2 linked regions of the Rhinolophus ferrumequinum genome follow. The protein of the gene in region 2 interacts with the protein of the main gene of each other region in a biochemical or structural test. Links are inferred from orthologs where the notes say so. Each region holds a gene or a part of one and is shown on either strand. Other genes may lie near its edges.

What was found. The genes of interacting proteins can lie anywhere in the genome.
Region 1: the proteins of DSG1 (region 2) and PKP1 form a complex in vitro, tested with the Homo sapiens proteins (2 studies listed by BioGRID and IntAct). The link is inferred for Rhinolophus ferrumequinum from reciprocal best matches to the Homo sapiens genes DSG1 and PKP1.

What each region holds. Positions count from the first base shown.
Region 1 is NC_046310.1:1,013,648-1,021,597, forward strand, and holds the start of PKP1 (plakophilin-1), read right to left. Parts: upstream 3,049-7,950; 5' UTR 2,793-3,048; coding exon 2,591-2,792; intron 1-2,590. UniProt on the Homo sapiens protein: A component of desmosome cell-cell junctions which are required for positive regulation of cellular adhesion.
Region 2 is NC_046302.1:26,214,249-26,222,247, forward strand, and holds the start of DSG1 (desmoglein-1), read left to right. Parts: upstream 1-4,964; 5' UTR 4,965-5,230; intron 5,231-5,316; exon of another isoform or gene 5,317-5,814; 5' UTR 5,815-5,899; coding exon 5,900-5,947; intron 5,948-7,999. UniProt on the Homo sapiens protein: Component of intercellular desmosome junctions. Involved in the interaction of plaque proteins and intermediate filaments mediating cell-cell adhesion.

The DNA of each region.
Region 1 (7,950 bases), on a different chromosome or scaffold from region 2:
GACAAACTTTGTGGGTGGTGTGTATCTCAGTGGAGCGGTGGGGGTGGGGGTGGGGGGCTTGGGGTTGGATCAAATGAGATTTGGGTGAAGATTTAAGAAGGGATTCCTGTGAAGTTATGAAGAACCTGAGTGTGGGAAAGCAGTGCATCTGCCCTTTGCCTGGTCACCAACCCCTGCAGGGACTTCCCAGCCTGGGCAGGAAGAGCTATCTAAGCAGCCACACCCCTGCAGCCCACACAGTCTGAGGGGACACCTGTGCACACGAAAGCCCTCTGGAAACACAGGAAGCAAATGAGGGGCCAGTTCAGGCAGAGGGTCATGCGGGCAGGCAGGCTGACGGCAGCCTCCCTCTGCAGGGTCCCCAGACCCCAGACACCCTGTTCCCTCCGGTGCTTCCCGGCCAGGAGGGTGTGTTCAGGGAGGGCCTGCCTGGGCAGGGATGGGCCCTGGGCCCCAGGGTCCTTCCACGGGCTCATTCTTCAGCCCTCGTCACTCAGCTCCCCGTGACGGACAAGACAGAAGAGAGCTTGGTGGAGAGGGCTCTGAGGGAGAGCCGGTTCCTGGCTGTCCTTCACGGGGTCCAGGAGTGGGGGCCACCCTGCCAAGCTCCTGTGGGGCGTGGCTGGCCTTCTCTGGGGCAGGAGTCCTTCACTAAGGGGCCTGGATGGGACTCAGGGAGAAACAGACCCCACGGGACCTGCTCACCTCTCGTGGAGGAGACCGAAGCAGGATTTGAGTCTGTCTAGCAGGATGAGAAAAGGGCCTGGGGTGTAGCCCTTCCAGAGCCACCACGTCTCTGTCCCAGGAACCCTAGTGGGTACATGGGATGTCAACCAACTCGAGAAGGAGGGAAGGGAGTGAGTGGCCGCAGAGCCAGCAGGGAACACTCGGGTGGTTCTGGTGAAGAGGAGGCGAAATCTGATGAAACGGAGCCAGACAAACCAGAAGCACCAGCTCCAGCTGCCCAACCGCCTCTCCCAGTGATGATGCCTCTGGGGACCTGGCCCCTCTGGGAACCTCACCAGAGCTGAGTAGGGGACACACCTCTATTGTCAGGACAGAGACCCCGTGTCTGGAGAGGCATGCAGAGCCACCAGAGCCAGCCCTCACCTGGCTGCAGGCACTTGGCCGCTGTCCAGTTAGGTGGGAAGATGTGTTTGGAGCACCAATGGCTTGAGATTTTTCTGGAGCTGTGAGCCTGGAGCTCAGGCCAGAGATAGAGCAGGAGTGGGAGTGGGTCAGGTGAGTCTTGTTCAGAGAAAAGTGTACACTGGCTTTGGCTGTGACTGGGCTGTGGCCAGAAATGGGGCACTTTGTTGTCCGAAGCCTCCGTCCAAAAAAGGCTAGTAAGCACCTACCAAGGCACCAAATAGAAGAGGAGAAAGGGCCCTGGAGGCTGCATGGTCTTGAGTCTGGCAGAGGAGGAACCAGGAGCCCAGGCCAGGGCAAAGGGCGCGCGGAACGGCAAAGCCTGGGGGCTGGGAGGGCCTCAGCAGGGCTACCGGGGCGGGGGAGAGAAGAGGACAGAAGCCAGCGGTAGGGAGTGTGAGCTGGTGTGTGTGTGGTGGGAGGTGGGCAGGGCTCCGTTCCCTCCTCTCCCTGTCCTGTACCACCCCATCCCTTCCCTCTCCCAGGGGGGCCTGGTTGACTGTAATGGTTTGCGGCCTGCAGGGTCTTTATTAGTATTTTACTCAATTGAGCTAAGTAAATACATAAGCAGGAGGTTCACTAATCCGTGTGATATTACTACCAATCCTTTGTGTGGAAGCATTTGGTCTAAAAATTCTCCACAATCGTCCGTCAGACACTGTGCCGCCCTCCTTGAGTTTCAGGGATCCTACCCCTTTCTCCCAGCACCCGCCCCAGTGGGGGCACCTTGTGCGGGGGGTGGATGGCTGGTCAGGCTGAGGACCCACACTGGACACTGCCCCATGGGGGGGGCTGGATTCCCAATGTGCCAGCCTCGGTCCCCGCTCTCCCCCAACACACTAGCCCCACCTCAGCGAGCGCCATAAGCTCTATAAGGACAGTCCTATGGGAAAGGGAGCTTCTGCGTTAGCTCCTGGGGAAAGAGGGTCCCCAGGGAGCCCACCAGCCCTGGATGGCCTCTTCCAGGTGTAAGGCTCCCAATAACATGCTGCTGAGGCTCCAAGAGCTTGTGGTCCTGGGCGCAGACTGCCCACTGAAGGAACAGCCACTCCTGGGAAACACTCCGAGGGGTGAGGGCGAACCCTGGGGTCGCCGCCCCTGGAGGACAGGAGGTAGGGGGTTCCCGGGCAGGATCGGGAAGAGAAAGCCGCTGGGGCCCAGGGCCCCACACGAGAACAGTGCGCTGGAGAGAGCTCCTGGCCGTGTCGGAGGAGGCGCGCTGGTGCTCCCCGGTGCGCACTGACTCCTGGAACTGGTCCCCGGGTCCAGGCAATGGTACTGTCCGCTTGGGACAGGGCCAGGGGCTCTGGGTTCGCACCTGCGCAGACCCTGCCTCGGCCGGCAGTCCTTCGCTCTGCTGCAGCCGGGAGGTGCGCGCTCCGCAGCTCCCACCCCAACCCCTCAGGGGCGCGCACGTCCTGTGCGCGTCAGGTGACTTTACCTCGGTTGGAGTGGCTCAGGGTGGACGACTGAGACGACTTGGGCTTCTGCCGCTTCACCGTCATCATCACCTGCTCCTGCACGCGCTGCCTCCCCGACGTGCCCGTCTTCATCTTCTGGTCTGACGGCAGGGCCAGCGTCGAGTTGTCCTGCTCCTGGAAGCATTCATAGGCCAGGGCGGTCTTGAGTGGCGAGTGGTTCATGGTGGCAGACAGGGTTGGGGTCTGGACGGCGGAGGTGGCGAGGTGCAGAGGACAGCGGAGGGCTCTTCTCGCTCAGGGGCTCCCTGTGGCCATAGAGTGAGTGTTGGCGAGGGTTCCGGGCTGCTCCTGGCGCTTCCGCCCTGGCTCGTCCCTCTCCTGGCACTGGCGGGGCCCGCCCTCCGTCAGACTGGATATACGGCCCCTGCCTGCACCACCCACTCCACCTGGTTGTACGCTGCAGCAGCCCAGCAGGAGCTCCTGGGGGCAGGGCTGCGTCCTGAGTGTGGGACTGCTGTCTCTGCCTTTCTCTCCTTCCCGCCCCCCTACGCAGGAGGTGAGGCACCTGACACGCCCCTCTGTCCTGTTCCCTGCAGCTCATGGAGAAAGTATGTGCTCAGCTCAGGAACCCAGGGACACGTCCTTCTAGGAAGGAGGAGTCTTTCTGACTTGGTCCCCAGGACAGCCAGATGCCCACCTCCCTCTGTCCTGAGACCATGGCCAAGACCACCCACAGGTGGTGGCTCCCAGGCTGGTGACAGAAGCACAGTCCTCGTCCAAAGGGAGTGCTCCTTCTTGTGGGGACAATCTGTTCTCCTGCAAGGCGGCTTCCAGCCTGCAGGGAGTGGCATGGGAGCAACAAGCCAGACCTGGACCAGCCTTGAGATGCAAAACGCACAGAGCAGTGACCTGCCATGCGTGAAGAGTGGACCCTCCTGAGACTGCAGGCTTGGCCCCTAAAACACTGCCTGGCACATCGTAGGGGCTCGATGACAAATATTTTTGAATAGATGAATGAATGAAGGCTAATTTAAGATAAATTAAGTCTAACGTGAATTCTACCCAGATCCTTACCAAAAAACTCAGCCTGCCTCGCCCATAAAACTACCCCCTGATGGCCTCGTGTGTGCATTCTCTCCCACACACGCCCCTGGGGACACTTGCGTGGTGATGTGTCATTCACATAGCGTTGTCCTCAGGCACGGTGGTGGCCCACACCAGGCTATTTGGTGTGAGAGGAGCTGAGTTATTTTTTAAATGACGTTGATGGAAATCTTTGTAGAAGCAGCACACCCTGCCTCTTTAACAAAAGATCCTGAACACATTTCAGGAGCTTCGTGATGACGCTGGGTCCTCAGTGTGGACGTCTGCTCAGCTTTGAGTTTTGGGGGCTCCCCTGGCTGCATTGCGCTGGCACAGCTATCACTTCTGCTGTCATTTGTAGTCACTGCTCACAGCTCACACACTTCCCTTTGAGTTTGCCCTAATCTGCAGAGAAAGGGGCCGTCAGAGTCTAAGCTTGTTGCGCCTTTTATGTCGAGGAAGGATGGAGAAGCCTGAGTGACAGTCTCAGGGTCACATGAAGGTGACGCTCTCACTTGTGAGAAGTGGGTGTCATATGCAGGGAGCCCCAGCTTTTCCCCAGAAGGCATTCCTGGTAGCCACGTGCCAGACAGAATATTGTAAAGCTGAGTGTAGTTTCCAATAGAAATTGTTTTATAATTGAGGGTTGTGTTCCTACGCTGTCTGGCGTCAAATAAACCAGAGCTATGACCAACAATATGTCATAGATACAAAAAGTCAACACCTGTAACCCTCTCTCATCCCTTAAAATTGTAAGATTCTGCTTCCAGCCGTAGACCGTGAGGGCTGGTGGAGCCCTGGGCACCTCACAGCCCAGCTCTGCAGCTTTCTGACGGGGAAGGGAGGTCGCTTGCCCGAGGTCTCCAGTTAACCCATGTCGAAGCCTCCATTCTAATCAGGCCTATGACGCCTGGGCCACTGTTCTTCCCTGCAACTCTCCAGCCTCCCCTTTAAAAGTGCCATAAAATGTGCATTAAAGTGCCTTCATGCGGGTTACATAGGGGCCCCACTGGACTATAAAGTGCACATGACAGCACATAAAAATACACCGCCATTGTGTCACACATCAGGCCCATCCCAAACCTAATACGCGAGCTAACAATAAATGTTCATTAGGTCTTTAAAGAATGATAACTTTGCTTCCTTTAGGATGTAGAGTGGCCCTGAAGGAAGTGATCGGAGCGGCCCGCACTGCTATAAAAGGTCACACGGACACCTGGACACGGACCCTGAGTATCCTCAAATCTGTTGCCAGGTATGAATCTCAGTTTTTCTAGATGATGCTTCTCCCCTGCTCTGATATGGATGTAATTTGATGTGTTGATGGCCACAGCCGATGCGGCCGTGCCCCTGTGAACCAGGCATGGTGCTCGGTCCTGTGTACGGATCCTCCCCTTGGAATCCTGACAGTGACCCTGTGGGGTGGGGACCAGCGCCGTCATCTTTCCTTTTCAGATGAGGAAACAGGCTACGTGAGGTCACAGAGCTGGAAAGGGGCAGAAACCGGGCCGAGCACAGGCAGCCTGAATCCAGGGCCTGGGCACCCAGTGGCAGTGCCAGGCTGCTTCCTTGCAGTTTCCCAGTAACAGGCAGTGGGTCCCAAAGCCTTCCCTGAATCAGTCTTCTAACAGCACCTGTGTCCATCACATGGCATGAAAATCAGGCCACCTGGGTTCCGAATCCAGGTGTGTCACTAATAAGCTTCACGATGCTAGAACTCCCTTCCTCTGTCTCCTGCACCAAATCTGTGAGTGAGGAGATCTCATGGCTCCTACTCGAGCCCTGACACTCTAATTTTGATGAGGACGAATGGGTCCTAGTTCTCTTTGCCGCCTGCCCTACAGCATGAAGTGGGACCCAGTGTCACTCTCCACTCTCGAGGCTCTCAGTGCTCACAAAAGTAAGGCAACCCGTGACCCCACGGCTCGCTGGGGAGCACAGCCTGGATCCATTTACCCAACAAGGATGGATCAAGCATGTCCTGTGTGGCAGGCCCTGCCCTAGGCACTGGGACACAATGGGGAGAGGACGAAGTTTCTGCCCTTATCAAGTGTTTCTCCTCGAGATGGGGGAAGAGGGGACGCTGCCCAGGGAGGATGGCTGGCCCACGTGAAGGCTGAGAGGGGCTCCTGCTGCTTCTAAGCACGACCGGACAGAAGCTTCACTTTGCTCAATTTCCAGCCCTCCTAGGGGAGGGGACCACCTGTACCTGAACCCCAAACTGATGCAGAACCCCCAGGAAGCTGAACGAGGTCATCTTGCTTTATGGACCTCTAATCTTGCCAGCATAGCCCCACCTTATCCAGCCCAGTCGTCTGCCACTGGCCCCTGTTGCAGGCACCTTTGGATTTCCTGGACAGTGGCCATGGGGCCAGCTCCCTGCTGTGCAGCCGTTTCTAGCGGAGTTCTTTTGGTCAGCTAGCAGGCTTCCCAACGGCTGCCCAACTCAGGGACCTTAAAACCTTCCCTGAGGAGCCACACTGGCCCCTCCCCAATCTCTAAAGATCCCCCCTCCCATGTTTCCTCCCAGCCCGCAGCCTCTCTGGTTTTGCACATATGCCATTCCGTCTGCATGAGTCACTCGCAGTCACTTAAGTGTGTACCGAGTGCCAGGTCAGCTCCTGGGGGTGTAGCCAGGAAAAGAGACCAGGTCCTGCCCTCATGGGACTTCCATTCTAAGAGGGCAGGAGAAGAGCAAACTTGTAAAGGGGCTACTAAGAGGACTGAGAATTGTGTTCAGGGCTGAAGGGTGATGTTCCCTGTGGTGGTCAGAGCAGGGCATGCAGGCTGAGACCAGAAGGGTGAGAGGCAGCTGCCCTATGTGGGGGAGGCACTCCAGCACAGGGAACCGTGGGTGTCCTGGCCGTGAGCCTGGCATGTCCTCAGACCCACATACAGACCCGTGTGGCCTCCGTGGGAGGGGTGTGGGCACGAGACGGGCGCAGAGGCAGGCAGCATGCGCCGTACTGTACGACTTTCTGTGAGGGTGGCAGCGTCCTCTATCTGTGTAGCTATTTAAATCAGTTAAAAGGAAATGAAACGAAAAGTGCCGTTCCTCAGGCACACCAGCCACATTTCAAATTCCCGAGAGTCACACGTCGCCAGGGTCCCCCACTGGATAGCACAGGATCGCACTGGACCTTGGAGGCCTCCCTCGGGTTTGATTTGAAGATGGATGAGAGGCCATTGAGAGGCCTCAAACATGGGGTGACAGGACACTCCACCCCCTTCCTTCCTGCTTCTGTCAACTTGTCTATCCTAGTTTTCCTTGCTGAGGAACTCCCAAACTGCCATCTCCTGGGCCCTTTATAACTGGCACTTGCCGGTCCCATGTCACCAGTACGACCTGGAGCAGCCTGAGCGAAGGGAAGTGTGCGTCCACGCCTCTCTGCTCTGTCCACATCTCTGGCACACATACGGTGCTCGATCAATGTTTATTTTTTTGAGGGGAGTCCACCCTCTTGATCCGTCAAGGCCCCGTCCAGCCCTCAGCAGGTCGCTTGGACAAGTCGGGCTCAGTGCCTCCTGGTCAAGCCTCCGCCTTTCTAAAGGCCAGTTCCTCTGGTGACCTTCGACCTGTCTCCTTCTGGCAGGGACCCCTCAGGCACGTTCGAACCCCCCAGCCCATTTTCCTGAGAGGGTGGGAACTGGTATCAGGAAGTCAAATTAGTTCACTCTCGGTCCAGTCCCGGTTGTCTCAGGGGACCAATCAGGAAGCCATCTTCCCGAGGGTCTGAGTGAACGTGATTCTGCCCCCGTGGTGACTTCAGGACCCTGACCCTCGCCACCGCCCTCAGGGTACCAGGGTAGGAATGGACCAGACTCTTAGCCTGGCACCTGTTGTGACCTTTTGTCCCCAGGTGTGGGGGCCTGTGCAGGCCTCTGTGCCTGGAGAGTACAGAGGGCACCCAGAGCGGCTCCCAGCCATGGGTGAGAGATGGGAAATGGGGGGATGGGAACAGCAGCCGCCACTCCCCAAGCCCTTGGCAGATACCCCGATTGGAAGGTCAGCGCCTGTGACCCCGGGTCCCCTCTCCACAAGGCCTGGGGCTAGAGGCGGGCTGTGTCCTTCCATGCCCGCCTGCTGTGCTCTGGTAGGAGATGAGGGAGGCCTGGCTGTGGGCCGAGAGAGAGCAAAGGTTCCGGTTCAGCCTGGAGAGCAGGGCCTGGGTGAGTCCAGGGGTGGGCCAGCTGAGGGGCAAAGCCAGGGCCTGCACCTAGGCCTCCAACACGCCAGAACTCTCTGGAGCTGCCATTCTGGTCCCTGGGTGGGGTGGGTGTGGCGGTGGCCAGGGAG
Region 2 (7,999 bases):
GCTGTTGTGACTGCCGCGATGTCCTGAATTATTTTGACTTTGGGGAAGAGCCAGAAGTTGCACGGTGCCAAATCCAGTGAATAAGGTGGATAAGGACATACCTTAATGTCTTTATTTGACAGAAATTGCCATATACCAGAAGTGACATGTGACAGGAAGCACTGTCATGATGGAGGATGATTTACAGCACCTTCTCATAACTGTAGTTCACACCTGATTGACTGCACTGAACAAATTGAAACTTGTCACACACTGTTACTAAGGTTTGACTCGCCACTCCCCATATTGAAGATCCCTGGTTTTCCACTGGGTAGCACTCAGCAGCAGCATTCACCTTATTTTGTGATCATAACGGAGAGGCTCCGTGTCATACATCACTTCTGGTACGGCAATTTCTGTCAAATAAAAACATTATGGTATGTCCTCATCCACCTTATTCACCAGATCTGGCACCATGCGACTTCTGGCTTTTCCCCAAAGTCAAAATGACCATGAAAGGTAAACATTTTTAATCAAATCAGGACATCGAGGCAGCCATGACAGCTCAACTAAAGACACTCATGAAAGAGACTTCCAGAACCGCTTCAGAAAGTAGCAAGAAAGATGGGATAAGTGTGTTTGAAGTGAAGGGAAGTATTTTGAGGGGGATTAATGGCAATATGTATTTTACCAAAATAAATTTTTTTTGCAATTTAAACTCTCACCATATTTTTTTATCACATTGTTTAGCAGCAGAAATGAAGACAGAAAGGCAAAGTTGAGACTAAAGTAGATTATAAATTTGAAAGTATAGCGTGAATTGATTTAGGGGAACAACAAAAAAAAGAAAAATATCAAACATTTTAGAAATTAATTCTATTGTGTCATAAAGGTGTAGCCTTTAACATCAGTACGTCGTCACTTAACATCATCGATAGGTTCTGCAACTTGAAGCAAGACAACATAAAATGAAATCAATTTTACCACCAGTTAATTGGTATAAAGAAGAGTTAAGTTCCTACAGCATCTCATCAATGTTATAACAAAATGACATTAATTATTTGAGGGCCTGTTATATAAGATTTATCTGACGTCACCTCCAACAAAACTGGGCTAAGGATTCCCATAGCACTCTATGCATGCTTCCATTTAGCAAGTTGGGGGAAAGTCTGTGTTTCTCATTCCAGCTAGCCTGGAGCCACTTGAGGGCAAGAACCATGATGCATCCATCTTTATAACTCCAGTCTCTAGTATAATGCAAGGCATTTGGTAGGCCAAAGAAAAAATTAGAACTGAACCAATGGTAACTTATTATATAGAAAAAGGAAGAATTGAATTTGCATTTGCAATCATAAGGGTCACTGGGGTGGTAGCTAATACATATAGATGTATGTGAAGAACAGTCTTCCAGAAAGGAGTAGTAATATTTCTATCTCAGTATGTTTGCAGCTATAATGTAACCTCTTTAAGGGCAGAGTTCAAAGTTATTTTGAATGTACTGCAGCATCTAGGACAGTAATGAACATGCAGGGGATGCTTACTTAGAATTTTTTTTAAAGAATAGACAGTAATAATTTAGTCTGTTTCCCTACTCTTATTTATCATACACAATTTAATTATTAAGATAGAGTCCAATGTTCTCAAAATCATTTGAGATTTTCCCCACTTATGAATATTCTTTCTGTACAGAGAAAAACACTTCAAGATGTGATGTTGTTGAACTCTTATCCCAGAACTGACTAGACAGAAATAAAATTAAGGTTTTCCTTAAATCTGGTTTAAAAGAAAGGAAGAAGAGTTAGGCTATAGATCATTCTAGTCAATTAAATAACGTCTTTCTGAAAACATAAAACTAAAAATATAATTTGATCATAAAGATGTGTCTTTTCCTCAGTGATTAATTGCTTTAATTTTAATGGTAGCTCTAGTCATCATAATTTCTCTTCACTCTTTCAATCAACTTTGCAGACTCTCCTAAGATTGACTAATTCACTAACAAGTCATATTTTGTATGACAAACTATAACCTATTCATTTAATAGGTCAGCAAACATTTTCTGTAAACGGCCAGATAAGTAATTATTTTAGGCTTTACAGGCCACATGATTTCTGTCATAATTACTCAGTCTGCTGTTGTAGAGGGAAAGCAGCCATAGACAACACATAAGCAAATAAGAATGGTTGTGTTAAAAAAAAAAAAAGGCAGTGGGCCAGATTTAGCCAATGGCTATAACTTGCCAACCACTATTTTAGTCCATTATTCTTCTTTTACTATAAAAATGGTCAAATATACAGAGAGACTGAGAGACACAGAGAGACAGACAGAGAGAGAGAGAGAGAGAGAGAGAGAGACAGAGAGGTATACTACCATTTAGATTTGATAATTGTTCATATTTTGCTATATTTACATCTATTTTATTGCTGAATTAGAATAAAGAAAACTTTTGTGTCATGAGGTTTTGCCCCTATGTAATTTAACATGTATCTTTAAAAATAAAGACCTATTACTACATAATGTACTAAAATTGATAATAACTCCCTAACAGCCAATATTTAAATTTCTCTAAGTATCCCCAAAATTATTTCTATAGCTATTTAGTTCAAATCAGGGATCCAATTAAGGATAAGACACTGCATTTGATTGTTATATATTAAAAGAAAAGCCTCTTTTACTCTAAAACAGCAGCCTCCATCCTCCAGATGTGACTCGTTGAGGAATAATCTGATTTTAAATAATGTAAACAAGATCTGGACTCAATACATACCACAGGAACATTAATATAGTGGCAAATACAAAAAAAAATTGTTTATATTATTCTCCATATATTTACCTCAATTTCTCTACTTTTGGGATTTATTTTTACATTTCACTTATTTTTTAAACAATTTGTAGAGCTTATTAGGGTAATTTAGACACACTCATGAAACCAGAGGTTTACATGTAACATAAAAGCATATTCCAAAGGGTTTCTATGAAATGTATGAGTCTATGCTATGGGTGCTATGCAAGTGAAGGAGAATAGAATAGTCAGTTACTTTAATTAGACTTAATCCAGATCAGTAAAATCCATCACCTTTCATGAAAGATGCTGATTGTTTTTTTCTTTCAAGAGGATATTACAGTATCCCCAGCTGTGAACAGATACAGAAACGTAGACACGTGGGATGATATTCTAGAGTTTGCAGAGCCTTATGAAGGACAGGAACATCCTTTTCCCAGAAAAATCTTGATCCCTGTGAGAAAATCTATTAGTTTACCAGGGAAATTCCAACCAGAAAAATCACCCCAAATTTCATAAAATTTCCATGAAATGAGAACTGTTGGTATGCACGTGGAGTTACATTTTTAATAAACAATGCTCAGAGTAGAAACAGGGCATGAGACCAGCCTGAAGGAGCAAACTTGTGTAGCACAGGTATGTGACAGTGTAGTGTGAACTTACAGATAAGGTGGCTGGGAAATGTGAATATGGAAATTCACAATATGGAGGGGTTTGTGTTGCCTATCTTTTAAAGTATCCTAACTCACTAGCATTGGGAAATAGGATCAGTAAAGAGTCAGGAAAAAGGATTGGACCAACAGAGATAATAGGAGTACATAAAGAAAAGGGAACCAAAAGGTGCTGATTGGAAACTGGAGCAAAGCTAGAATTCCCTCAATTGAGAAAAGGAATTGAATTTATAAAGAATAGAAAAAGTTAAAGCACAGAATGAGATAGAAGAGAAAAGCACTGTGCAATACCACTGGCCGCATGTGGTTATTTAAATTTAAATTAATTAAAATCAAAAAAAGTTAAAAATTCAGTTCTCTAATCATGGCAGCCACATTTCAAATGCTCAATAGCCACATACGGTTAGTGGCTATAATATTGGATAGCACGGATAGAGAACATTTCCACATTCCACAACGCTGCACTGAGAACATTAAAATGAGTAGGCAAGAGAAAACAGCAGGGAAAGAGGTAAAGGAGGAGGAGAGGTGATTCATCAACTCCCTTTCCCACTTGTGTTTAACGTCACTAGTTCTCATGTGATGGTCAAGATAGCCACTGCTCTACAACCTTGGGGTTCAGCCACACCTCCGCTCAGAAAGGTGCTAGAGAGGTGGCTGCCTTATACATGCTCTAGTCGGTTGGGATTGTTGGAGCAGGACGTTGAATTGGGGTGGAGCCAAGGTTGGGCTTGGGGGAGAGTCATTAAATGGGTGACGAGGGCCTGTGCACACCCTAGTGCCATGCCCAGAATTCAAAGTGGATAAAGCACTCACTTGCCACTGGAAAGATGCAAGAGTAGATTTTTTCCTTCTCTGGTGTCCAGTGAGTCTTCAGTCATTCATGGTCATACAATCTTACTACGAATATATTATTCAGATTAAGTCATAGGTCAACACTCTCTATTTTACTCAACCAATGAGAAATTTGGCCTGACCATCTTATTTCATTTTATTTATTCATATCAGCCGGTTCCTACTATACACATTCATATTCACTGCAAGTAAATATAGGAAGCCTACCTCCTTACCTCCACGATGAATAGTATGGAATTTTAAACCGCTGTTGAGTAGCCAGCCCTCTTTGCCACACACCCACAGTGAAATGAAAGCATTCCGTAGAAGCTCTGCCCTCAGAGATATCCTTCCTTTTTGGGATATTTTTGGCAACTTTTTGGCCATAATCAACTTCTTATCCAATAGGTCTTTTGTTTCAAAATGCCATTTCAAACTCCATAGTCTTCCTGCCACTCATTATATTTACTCTAGACATTGCGAGGTGAAGACAGCATATCCCAAGAACACTAGCAAATGATGCCTTGTAAGAGTCACTAATTATTTTCACAAACCTCAGGGCTGCTCAGTTTCCCATTTGCATGTGTGGGCAGCAGTTTCTTCAATGTATTCCCCATGTTCTAATTGGCTCACTATACAGATTCTTGGCTCTGTGCTTGGGAATCATCGCTGACTTTTAACCCACCTCACCTGAAGAGTAGCTTTCTGTGTTCCATTAGTATTTCAGGCACTGATTCTCATTTTTATAAATTAGCAACAGGATTTTAATTGGAGATTTGGATTGTTTCCTTTTAATCGGACTTAGCGACATTAAAAAAAAATTACTGCACTTGAAAAGGGCAGAACTTTAAAGAGAGAAAATTAGTTGGGGAAGAGAAGATATTCATTTAGAGAAAACAATAGAGACTTCCTCAGACTTAGACTGGTCACTTAAAGGGAACTGTGACATGCAGAGGACCTTATAATTGTAAGTATCATAGTTTTGCTTGTTTGAATTAATACTTTTTTAAAAATCCTCATTCTTAACATTGGCAAATTTTCTGTCTCTCAAAGGACACTTTGAAAATGACAATTTCCTAACATCCACTGAAATGGAAAGTTTATAATTTTCTACTGTGACCTGAGTGTCTGGCTATGAGCATAGGCCGGATAATCCTCTGAATAATATGAGCATCCAGACTACACTTGCCTTTTTAATATGCAAAGAAGTTAAACAACCTGTGAATAAAGCACAGGGTGAAAAGCCCTTATCAATTGTATAATTCTCCATACTTCTGATCTTTTTAAACACCTGCCACTAAAAACCTTCAGAAAAGGAGTAAATCTTCCATGCCCTACAGAGAGTTACCTTTCAGCTGGAAGCAGGGTGTGTCCCTAAGCTTTTACCTGGGAGCAATGATGATCTTGTCAAGCATTTTAGTGAGACCAGCCCAAGTTTTTAGGGTGGGGATCTAGACTGGTTATACGTACCTTCGGTCCTTCTCCCAGAGAAGGCAGAAACACCTCAAAGCCTGCATGTAAGAACATCTACTGAGAAATTATTTTAATCAGACACCAGCTGAGTGGGGGAAAGAAAAAGAACAGAGAAGAACAAACAACACTCCCTTGGTCCTGGATGTAAGAGAACCCAGCAGCGATGAAGTGGCACTTCTTTATAACAGCTGCAGTGCTGTTCATTTTTCTGGTAAGTGGATTCTGTTGAAAATCCTCCACGATCATTCTCGTTGTAAAGTGAGAACATTTTAGAAAATGTCATTTCTTGTTATTTCTAATCTAAACCCATTAAAAGTTTATGTTAATGACGAGGTAATTTTTATGAACTACATGTTTAAATAGTGTTTCTCTCTTTAATTGAAGACTCAAGATCATATTAAGGCATAAGTGTCAACTCATCATATCACATCTGTGAAATCGAAGTCATTGTTAAGTCATGCTGGGAAAAGATTGAATATGAAAAAGTCATATCACTATTTAATAGCACTTTGCTGTTCAGATTCCCTTTTGCAGGTGGGCTTTTAAAGTAATATTACAGGTGTGTCCTGATTTTTTTAACCTAAATATTTTTTTTCATTCTTTTGGTATCTTTGCTGGTAGGTTCACTGTAGTTTTTAAAATATACAAATAGGATCCCTAAAATTAAAATCACAGCAGTTTGTGATTGGCCTCACTATCCAAATAATCTCATTGTTTTCTTATGTGGTTGGGATCCACTAATACGGAAAGCCCCGCACTGCTAAACTATGATTTTATTTAAAATGATATTTTTTTATTTAAAAAAATGGCAGTATGGGAGATTTATAAATAACATAGTAGGTGAAGGAATGGCTATAATTAAAAAGTAAGTATAATTATTACAATACTCGTCCTTACTAATGGAAAATCAGTGATGACTGATATGCAAGTTGTACGTTGATGTCAGACAAATGTAATGAAATGTTTTATCATTGTCCCCCTTACACGTTATTAGTTCTCTTTTTAGAGATAAAACTAAGTGCAGCGCCAATGTGTTGCATCAATTTCACTTATGTCAAAAATATTAAAATTGTAGTCTCACAGTAAGGTTAATATAATCCAAAGAGACAAATGCCAGTTAAATCACGATCCAATTTGGCAGGATATAGTGCTGTGGTTCATATTTGTTTCTACTTGCTTAATTTTGGAACTGGATTGTTGGGTTTCTATAATAACAACTTAGATCTTTGATATGTGGTATGTTGGTTAGTTTGAATTCAGTTTATTAATTAAGAGAGGTCATTACCAGTGGATTTACTTATAAATGAGCATCATATAAGCTGGTAGCTTTAGTTCCAAGCTACCCTTTAAACATGAGCCCTATTCCATGGACTTTTTAATGGGTCTTTAGGATCAATTGATATTATAACTTGCGATGTGGCAGGGATTAATAAGCATTATACAGTATGTCATCTGAACATAAGAGTATTTGTCTGTCATGAAATAAACAAACACTTTTATTTTTAATTTCATATAAAGTTGATGCATTAAAGCTTATTTTAGTTACAATTGATTAAAGTTCATTCTGATGCTTACGTATTTTCACTGAATCTATAGGATACCTTATTTCATTATTTTTATGATTATTTTTAATTAATTACATCCTATACAATCCCTTTAATCAGCCACTTTCTAATTAGTCATTCTTTAGTAAAATGTATCTTTTTATCAAAATCATGTATGCTTATTGCACTTTCTCTCTCTTTGTAGAGAGGTTTCTGGGCATTTGTATTTTATTTTCTGTTTTTGGATAGGTTTTGTTTTGTGTGGATTGTTTGTTTGTTGCCATATTTTACTTTCGAATCAATAACAAGTTTCTCATATGCCTTATGAAAATTATGTCTCAAAGAATTTGTTCTATGATTAAAATGTTTCATTTTTACATTATCATAACTTTTTTTATAAAACATTTCACTTTTTAAGGTTTGGAAAATCATAATTTATTTTTACTCCTGATTTTACCAGATGATTTGGATAAATGTCCTTTGGAGTTATGCAGTCTATTTGTGCTTTAAAATACTATTTTTTTCTGAAAATTAACCACCACGATAGCAAATTATTCCACTTACCTTTCTGCTATCCTCACTGTGAATGTTTACTTTCACCAAACAAACAAACAAACCCATGTAAAGTCTTTAGATTCTCTGCCCAAAGTCGATATAAGTGAAAATGTATAGTAGGGAGCATATTTGGACAATTCTTAAAGGTCAAAAAGACCTTTAAG